Linked DNA regions of Saccharomyces cerevisiae S288C. The protein of the gene in region 3 purifies or fractionates together with the protein of the main gene of each other region. This does not show direct contact. Each region holds a gene or a part of one and is shown on either strand. Other genes may lie near its edges.

What was found.
Region 1: the proteins of NUC1 (region 3) and POR1 purify together in Saccharomyces cerevisiae (affinity purification with mass spectrometry, with the first as the bait; 2 studies listed by BioGRID). This does not show direct contact.
Region 2: the proteins of NUC1 (region 3) and YMR099C purify together in Saccharomyces cerevisiae (affinity purification with mass spectrometry; 4 studies listed by BioGRID, with this or other methods). This does not show direct contact.

Annotation. Positions count from the first base shown.
Region 1 is NC_001146.8:517,473-520,623, forward strand, and holds POR1 (porin POR1), read right to left. Parts: upstream 1,374-3,151; coding exon 522-1,373; downstream 1-521. Other genes in the region: OCA2 (Oca2p), read left to right, coding at 1-370; YNL054W-A (gag protein), read left to right, coding at 1,984-3,151. UniProt on the Saccharomyces cerevisiae protein: Non-selective voltage-gated ion channel that mediates the transport of anions and cations through the mitochondrion outer membrane.
Region 2 is NC_001145.3:463,298-466,456, forward strand, and holds YMR099C (glucose-6-phosphate 1-epimerase), read right to left. Parts: upstream 1,531-3,159; coding exon 637-1,530; downstream 1-636. Other genes in the region: MYND-type zinc finger protein MUB1, read left to right, coding at 3,003-3,159. UniProt on the Saccharomyces cerevisiae protein: Catalyzes the interconversion between the alpha and beta anomers from at least three hexose 6-phosphate sugars (Glc6P, Gal6P, and Man6P).
Region 3 is NC_001142.9:39,538-43,022, forward strand, and holds NUC1 (ribonuclease), read right to left. Parts: upstream 1,647-3,485; coding exon 657-1,646; downstream 1-656. Other genes in the region: CBP1 (Cbp1p), read left to right, coding at 1-432; AP-1 complex accessory protein LAA1, read right to left, coding at 1,852-3,485. UniProt on the Saccharomyces cerevisiae protein: This enzyme has both RNase and DNase activity.

The DNA.
Region 1 (3,151 bases), on a different chromosome or scaffold from region 3:
CGATGAAGGAATTCAAGAAAGAATGAACCAGGTCTTGCACTTGGTGCTGGATGTCAGAAACTATCCCATCTTAGTGCATTCCAATAAGGGCAAGCACCGTGTTGGTGTAGTTGTGGGAATCATAAGAAAGTTGTTACAGGGATGGTCCACTGCAGGTATATGCCAAGAGTACGGGTTATTTTCTGGTGGGATGAAAGATGGAGTAGATTTGGAGTTTATCACAATGTTCGAAACCAATCTGAAAATACCGAGAAACGTTATCCCTGGCTTTGCTAAACACTGCTTGTATTTGAATGAGCTAGAGGCTGCGGAAGGAAGTGATGATGAGTCAGGAAGTGAGTCTATTCTCACTGCCAAGCAACCAATATGATTATGAGAACCAGCCGTTACAAAGAATATTTTCTGTCATTAATATATTTGTATAAATAAAACAACAAGTCTAAAGATCAAGTAGAAAAATGGAAACAAGAACGAGCACATATATGGTATATAGTGAACATATATATATTAGATATATACGTTCAAGCGTCGAAGGACAAAGACCAACCTAGCTTGTGAACAGGTTCAGACAACTTCAAAGCATCGAAAGAGGAACCGACACCCAGAGTGACGCCAGGTCTTAACAATTGCTTGTAAGCCAAAGTGACAATACCGGAATCGGACACCTTAGCCTTAACTTGGGAAGATGCATCAGGCAAATATCTAGTGGCGAATTCGATGTTGACATTGGAGTTAGGTAGTTTGCAGTTCATTGTAGCCTTAGCACCGACCTGTAAAAAGGCGTTGACGTTTTGGAAGAAGTCAACGGTAGTTATTTGCTCGTTGTTCAATGTAGCGCCCAAGGAGTAGTCTTTGGCGAAATAACTTAAAGCCATGGCATAACGAGAAATGGAACCGGCGCTGATATCGTAACCAAACTCTGCGCCACCAACAATACCTTCGTGGGCCATAGTTAAGTCACCAACAAATGTTGGTGACTTCAAACACAAGTCAAAGGCACCTCTTGCGGTGAAGAAAGGTTGTGTGAACGTAGTGTTTAAGACGGCGGACTTGGCGACGCCTGGAGTCAAAGAAGTGATCAATTCGTTCTTTAGACCAGGGGTCAAGTTGGCAAACTCTAATTTGGTTTGCAAGTTGTTTGTGTTAGACCAGCCTTGAGTTAGACCCAAGCCGGTTTGCTTGTCATTCAACTTTGCTTCCACGTTAGTAGACAGTGGACCGTCTTTGACAGGCTGTTTAGCCTTCAATGAGAACTTAATGCCATTGGCGGTTGTTGTTTGCACATCAAAGGCAGCTGGGGTAGCATGATAGAAATCCTTGTTCAATAGGTCATTGATATTTCTGGAGATATCGCTGTAAACTGGAGGAGACATTGTTGAGAGGTTGGTTTGATTTTTGCTTTGGGTACGCTTGGCTGTTTCGTGTTGGGAGAATCCGTAGCACTAATGAGTAGTGGAACGAGTTGGGGGTAGTTATATAGTAGATCAACTCGTGCTCTGCTGGCTATAAAAGGGGTTCTTTGTTGAGGAACGGCCGAAATGGCGGTGTTTGATTGGGCCGCAGCCGGCAAAAAGCACCGGAACCGTGAAAAAAGCTCGTCTGACGCGGAAACGTGCGGCAAAAAATCTCCGCGACGGGGAATTGAACCCCGATCTGGCACGCGACAAGCGCCCATTCTGACCATTAAACTTGTTGGAATAAAAATCAACTATCATCTACTAACTAGTATTTACGTTACTAGTATATTATCATATACGGTGTTAGAAGATGACGCAAATGATGAGAAATAGTCATCTAAATTAGTGGAAGCTGAAACGCAAGGATTGATAATGTAATAGGATCAATGAATATTAACATATAAAACGATGATAATAATATTTATAGAATTGTGTAGAATTACAGATTTCCTTTTATGGATTCCTAAATCCTCGAGGAGAACTTCTAGTATATTCTGTATACCTAATATTATAGCCTTTATCAACAATGGAATCCCAACAATTATCTCAACATTCACCCATTTCTCATGGTAGCGCCTGTGCTTCGGTTACTTCTAAGGAAGTCCACACAAATCAAGATCCGTTAGACGTTTCAGCTTCCAAAATTCAAGAATATGATAAGGCTTCCACTAAGGCTAACTCTCAACAGACAACAACACCTGCTTCATCAGCTGTTCCAGAGAACCCCCATCATGCCTCTCCTCAAACTGCTCAGTCACATTCACCACAGAATGGGCCGTACCCACAGCAGTGCATGATGACCCAAAACCAAGCCAATCCATCTGATTGGTCATTTTACGGACGCCCATCTATGATTCCGTATACACCTTATCAAATGTCGCCTATGTACTTTCCACCTGGGCCACATTCACAGTTTCCGCAGTATCCATCATCAGTTGGAACGCCTCTGAGCACTCCATCACCTGAGTCAGGTAATACATTTACTGATTCATCCTCAGCGGACTCTGATATGACATCCACTAAAAAATATGTCAGACCACCACCAATGTTAACCTCACCTAATGACTTTCTAAATTGGGTTAAAACATACATCAAATTTTTACAAAACTCGAATCTCGGTGGTATTATTCCGACAGTAAACGGAAAACCCGTACGTCAGATCACTGATGATGAACTCACCTTCTTGTATAACACTTTTCAAATATTTGCTCCATCTCAATTCCTACCTACCTGGGTCAAAGACATCCTATCCGTTGATTATACGGATATCATGAAAATTCTTTCCAAAAGTATTGAAAAAATGCAATCTGATACCCAAGAGGCAAACGACATTGTGACCCTGGCAAATTTGCAATATAATGGCAGTACACCTGCAGATGCATTTGAAACAAAAGTCACAAACATTATCGACAGACTGAACAATAATGGCATTCATATCAATAACAAGGTCGCATGCCAATTAATTATGAGAGGTCTATCTGGCGAATATAAATTTTTACGCTACACACGTCATCGACATCTAAATATGACAGTCGCTGAACTGTTCTTAGATATCCATGCTATTTATGAAGAACAACAGGGATCGAGAAACAGCAAACCTAATTACAGGAGAAATCCGAGTGATGAGAAGAATGATTCTCGCAGCTATACAAATACAACCAAACCCAAAGTTATAGCTCGGAATCCTCAAAAAA
Region 2 (3,159 bases), on a different chromosome or scaffold from region 3:
TTCATTATCCTATTACATTATCAATCCTTGCATTTCAGCATCCTCTAACTTCGATGACAGCTTCTCATACCTTATGCCATCATCTAACACCGTATATCATAATATACTGGTAGTGTGACTACTAGTTGATAGACGATAGTTGATTTTTGATTTTTATTCCAACAGTCCTGATGATAAGTTACTGTCAAAGACATAATTATTATCAAAATATATGGTATTAGATGGACTGGTAAAAGTACAAAACTTCAGAAATTTGTCCGTGATAGTTTAATGGTCAGAATGGGCGCTTGTCGCGTGCCAGATCGGGGTTCAATTCCCCGTCGCGGAGATTTTTTTATCAGACCAGGTGGGTGTTGTTTGATCATCACAAAGTAGAATTCAGTGTCATTTTTAAAAACGTTACTTAATTTTACGATAATATGCTGCCAGAACAAGTTTAACAATACGCTTTTGGCAATTTGTTCTTGCTGCACTTGGAATTAAATAAGAGTCTTAGTAAACAGAATGTTGCTTTAGTTGTTCGTCAACAAAAACAAAGATAAAGGATGGAGGTAATCAAATAGCCCACATTAAGAAAAGTATACAACTGGGAATTTACTTTATAAAAATTACCGTTGCTACATTTTTTTATATTATTTATTGAATAGCTTGATATTTCAATTCTTCTTTGCAAAGTAATTGATAAGCATTCCATTTTTTACCAGGAGCCAAGGAAATAAAATCATGAACATGACCAGGTTCAATACATATCATTTGTTGGTAACCAGTTTTTGGTTCGAAATCGGCCATCCCTTGAGACTTCTCAATCCATGGATTCCAAACAACAGTGTCGGGCAAGTTGTATCTTTTTAGAGTGTGAATTTGAACGCCCTTGTCAACTATTTGAATGGCCCGTTCGGCGCTGACATTCTGATAAATTACATCGGTTTCTTGATTGAAGGTAACGACTGGGTGCTTGTCGACGTAGGATTCCTTCAACAGTTGGTCATAAAGTTTCATGCCAGCTAAATTAGAGACCATTGTTCCTTCAATATCTTCGATACGGAAGTATGTATGGAACAACCAGTTGAACTTTAATTCCTTGGAACTAGATGTGTTTTCTACTTCTATGGCAGTTTTCAAATAATCGGAGCCTAATTCAACAGTCAAAATCAAAAGATAATCCATTGGCCACAATTTGGTCAATTCTGGGTTAGCAATTTCTGGTTTCAAGCCAAATTGTACGGTCGGTGGGTTTTCCTTAGTTTGACCCAAAAACTCCCAAGTAGAATTTCTTGCAAGACCATGTTGAGGTAATTTACTCAAATGTTCATCGGTGCTATTTTTCCCGAATACAGGAAAGACCAAAGGTATACCACCTCTCACAGGTTTGCTACCATCCAATTTAGCAGCAGTAGACAACCACAACTGTTCTTCAGATTTCAATTTCCAAGAATAAACTGTAGCACCGTACTTTAGAATATGAACGCTGGTGGTCTCATCAGCTGGATGAGTCAAAACAACTTCTTTATCAGTTTCTTTGATAGGCATGGCTTTGTGTTTTAATCTTTCTTGGTTCAAGTTTTACCAAAGGCTTATAATGAACCTCAGAATCACCTCTTTATTCATTTCTAGGGACCTACTAAGTTTTCTTTCGGCGTGAAAAATAAAAGGCGCATTGGTGACCCCATTTGCGATACCTTTTTATGGAAAGACAGCTTGAAGAAAGACCTTGTTATCATTGACTGCGTCTAGCGAACGAGGACATCTACACACTATTTCTTCTGCTGCAATGATTGATGCCGTTTAGATGAATGGTCGGGACGTAACTTATGTTTTAAGAAGAAGGCACTTTTCCTGGTGCAATAGATGAATCTCGGTTTCAAGTTAACTATATAAATATGGGGTTGGCATTATATGTCATGCTTTATTATAATTAGGCATATAAAACTACATGGTTATGAAAGGCGCTGGCAGTAAAAGGGTTGTTTGTCAATGGCAAGAATTAATCATTCTCGCATTGAAATATATGTAGATCGAGGTGAACTGTTAGATGGTCCATCAGACATTTATTATTTTGACTTATGTATTTCCCTCTCAATTTTGTTATCAGTAATCGAGTCATGTGTACTTTAAAGTTCATATTCTCACGTTTTTCGCAAGATATTAGCCGCCAATAGCAACTCCGAATAATAAGAGCTATATAAAGGCCGTTGAAGCCCACGGAAAGAGAAAGAAAACTAATAGTTATTACAATATAGACCGTTGGTTTTTTCTTTCCCTCCTGGAGCAGCTGCGTATAGTTACTACCTAAGAAGTGGGCTAGAAGTTGGCTAGAAGTGGGCTACTTAATATATATCTTTGGATACATAGAAAGGAACCAGGAAAAAGGAAAATTATTTAGATGGCTTCCATAAGTTTATGATGGTTCAAACGGCAAAAAGCCTTTTGACTATTTTTCTTGGTTGAACTATCTTCTTATTAGGCCTACTACAACAATGCATCGAGCTAGGATAACAACTAGAATACTTTGGTTATGTATTGTATGGGTGTTCAGTGGCAAAATTTGAGAGTTGGGTTATTGATGGTCGGCCTATACAAACGAAAGACCTAGAGCAGCTCACAAGGAAGAAAGTGCTGGACAAACTTCCCTACCTGAAGAGAAAAATATCCGTTTTTTATATAGTTTCTGTAAGTGTGCACAGTGACTTCCTCATTAGAGCGATATAGATAATTTGAGACTTTATTTATTTTTTATTTTTGTTGGTTCTCATATTCAACCTTCCATTTATCTAAGTTGAACCATTAAACATTCCCTTTTTTACTTTGCTAATTTCATCATACCCATTGATCAACTATAAGTGAAACTTGGGAATCTTCCATTATACAAAGGTGAGGTCCCTATTTGTTGCATTTTTCAATTCATTTCCCTGGGAGTTTTTGTTTGTTTTTGCTATATTAACATATCATAACAGCGTATAGAACGTAATTTGAAATATTCAAAACAAAGAAAAGGTAAAGAAATGAGAGACTCTAATCATCGATCATTAACGTCGAACAAGCCTATAGTAACAATAACATCTACTGTCTATGACCGAAGGGCATTGGATATCAACTCTAGTATTCCGTTAATAAACTCCCTAAACTACTTAACATATCTAACCTCTAATTCATCAAAAG
Region 3 (3,485 bases):
TACATTAAAAAACTTTGTCATTATAAAAAGCGAGATGGTAAATTTGTTGCCAATGCCAAGAAGGATATCGATTTGGCAAAACTACTTTATATAAATGCTGCAAAGAGAAGTAAAACATACTGGACAAAATCGAACTGTAACCCATTCATTGCATCCTCCCCATGTGATGTCAAATTAAAAGTGAATAATCAAAACAGGTTTACTATTTTAAGGAATATTGCATTAAGCGCACTGCAGATAGGAAGAACAGACATTTTTCTTTGGGCGTGCGCAGAACTATACCAGAACGGTATGACGATTGAGGAATTGAAGTTAGACTGGAATTTCATCTTAAAACATCAAATTAGAAATTCAGAGTTCAAAACAAACAAGGAGATCATACAAGATATTAAAAAGCATGGTGTGTCGGCTGTCAAACGTTACTTAAGATGAACGGCCAAACGCACATTTACGATATAAATAACAAAGCAAATAATAACAAAACAAATTTCTGTAAATATATACTAAATCCAAGCATTGCATCCTAATTCTTTTCTTTTTTTGATCATCAAATAAATGTATTATTTTATGTTATATGCGTTAGACTTGTTATATTCTTTCATGCTATTCTATCGTTGTGTTATGAATTAATTTATATTTACAGTTTTTCAGTACATTCAATTCCTTTTTTTTGGAGGAGGTAACAATTTCACATCTTTCGATTGTTTGATCGCCGCGTTAGAGAAATCTCTCACTACAATTTGACAATTTACCTCTTTGCATAATGCCTTCTTCTTTGAAGGTGGTACTTTTTGCAGAAGTTCTAGCCCAGTACTTCTCTCTAAAGCATCTATAGGAACTTCAAAGTCAGTCAATTTCGTCTCATTTGATATCGGTTCGTTTGGCAATACAAATGCCGCGACAGCAATATCCTCTCTAGCAGGATTGGCTGTTGGTGCTTCTGCAACAATCAATTTAAAAAAGTGCGTTGGAACAGCAATACTGGGTGGATTGCCAATAACTTCATAATTAACCCTAAATTTATTATCTATGGGATCCTTTTTGGGTAGATACAATGGACCAGTCACGATTCTTACACTCTTATATTTCTTAGTCAATCCCCTACAAAAGTACTCCAAATGCGCCCAATAGTCTCTATTAAAACCTTCTCCTACTTGAGGACACATATTGGATAAGTAGAATGTATCATCCATGGCCTGTTGAGAAAATTTTGCGTCTGCAGCTGGGGCTTGATGGCCTCGATCATAGCCCGACCTAAAATAGTCTCTTAGTTTACCTCTAAACTTTTCTGGAATTACTTCATCTTCCTTGAAAAAGGAATTTTTTCTGTCAGCATTCCTTGCAGCCAATGATTCTGGCGTTATATGTTCGAGGACCCAATAAGGATTTTGAGTTTGTCTGTTGTAACATGAGATAAACTCTTCGCGGTTCTGCAGATCATGAATCGGACCAGGAAAACCATACTTGAAGAACCCGGAAGGATCGACGTTGAAAGAGTGAGATTGAATATTACTATTAGGTTTCTGGGTAGGTGGATAAGGTGTCTCAATGATTTGCGTTGGAGAATGTTTGTTCAAAAGAAGATAGGTTAAGCCAGTACCAGCACCCAGTCCGACTAAACCGGACAAGAGTATCCTACTGCACATGATAACTTTAACTTTGGGATCTAATAAGTGGGGAACTTAACTAAATGTTCTTATCTTTATACAATTGTAACTCTATAAAAACTAACAAATTACTTGATGAGTGACCAATAACCAATTGCACCATTGATATTTTTTCACAGATTTTATTTTTTTTTTCTTTTTTCGCGATGAGTTTTATTTCCGTGCATATGCATCCGACTTGCAATTAGTCGAAAGATTTCAGTTGAAAGGCCTCTTCGACAGAGCCCAAAGACTGCGATTTAACGTATGCCTCCATCACGGAACCTATAATTGCTTTTTGTTGAGGACTTATAGTGCTAGAAATGGCTTCTTTAAATGAATTTTTGTCCAATTTAGCCAAAGCAACTATGCCACTTGCTACTTCGTTGTCTATTTTCTCTGTATATGCGCTATGATATGCGGCAAAGAAAGAAAGACATAAAGCAATTGACAATGATGCCTTTTGGTGATCTTGTTTGATTACTTCCTCGGAAAACTGAATTATCAACTTAGTTTTAATGCTTGCCTGCGATAAGGAATCGTTTGTTTGAATATCTTGAAAGAATCTTTTTATAACCAACTTCATAAAATACTGCAACAACGGGTATTTGAAAATATTAGATATTATTCTCTTGAAGCCTTGTAGAGCAATTGGCTGCGTAGCAGGATTATTCAATGCCTCCGAGAGAATATTTGCGCACTGATTCAGTTCCTGAAAACTTAGCTTAGAGTATCCATTAGACAGCAAGATCAAAATGGTTGCAACTTTATTCTTTGAATCCAGCTTATGATAAATAACATCTTTTATTGACCCGTAGAATATTTCTAGTAACACAATATTTTTTTCGTCCTCAGATTCCGTAAGCGCTTTTACTAGTGCCTTGAAAAGTGGGAGTATGATTGGAATTATTACTTCACGATGACTACATTCATAAATTTTCCCTATGATGAATAAAAGACATGAATAAAGATCTACTTTGAACATATTGTCGAAGTTACTGATATTTGATTCGAACGCAATAAATGTTTTTTTCAACAGACTAATATCTGTGGGAGAGATTTTTATTTCATTATCATCTTCTTCGCTGGTAAGCACGTTATACTTAATAAATGGCAACCTCTCAGAAATAATTGTCATCAGTAGTCGCAGTAGCTCATATAGTTTGTCAATATCTTGTAGAAATGTTTCAGGAGTAGCATTACACTTCGAATACCCAATGATCAAGTCACTGATGATATCAACAAGCAAAAATTCTTCTTTACTGTCGCCTGTAGAAATCAGTCTGTCCATAATCTCAACAACTTCAGTAATAATATCATCCTCAAATATACTTTTTATGCACAGATTGCTCTTCAAAACATTGTGTAAAGCCGGTAAAACTTGCATCTTGACTGAATGATCATCAATATTTTTGACGATAGCCTCCAAACATTGGCTAAATAAAATAAAAAGAAAATACTCTAATTCCTCATCGTTAAGAGATGCCAAAATGACTTGAACGTCTGAATCCAGAGTGCACCCAAGGGCCTCTACGAAATTTAACCAGACCGGTTCATATAACTCAATTTTCGTACTTCTTGGTTCAATGAGACTATTTTCTTTCGAGTCATTCTTTACTTGCACAGTAGAATCATTATCGTTATACTTTATCATCATGTATTCACGTAAAGAAATGATCCATAATGGGACTAAAATGCTCCAATATTTCCTGGTAAAAGAGAAAAGCGCATCATTTGACGACGTGATGGATCTTTGCACTACCTCAGCCCACGCATCCAAAACGGCAAGTTCAATTTTTCTTTTCGCTTTGGGTGTAACGATTATAGCTTCCCCTATCC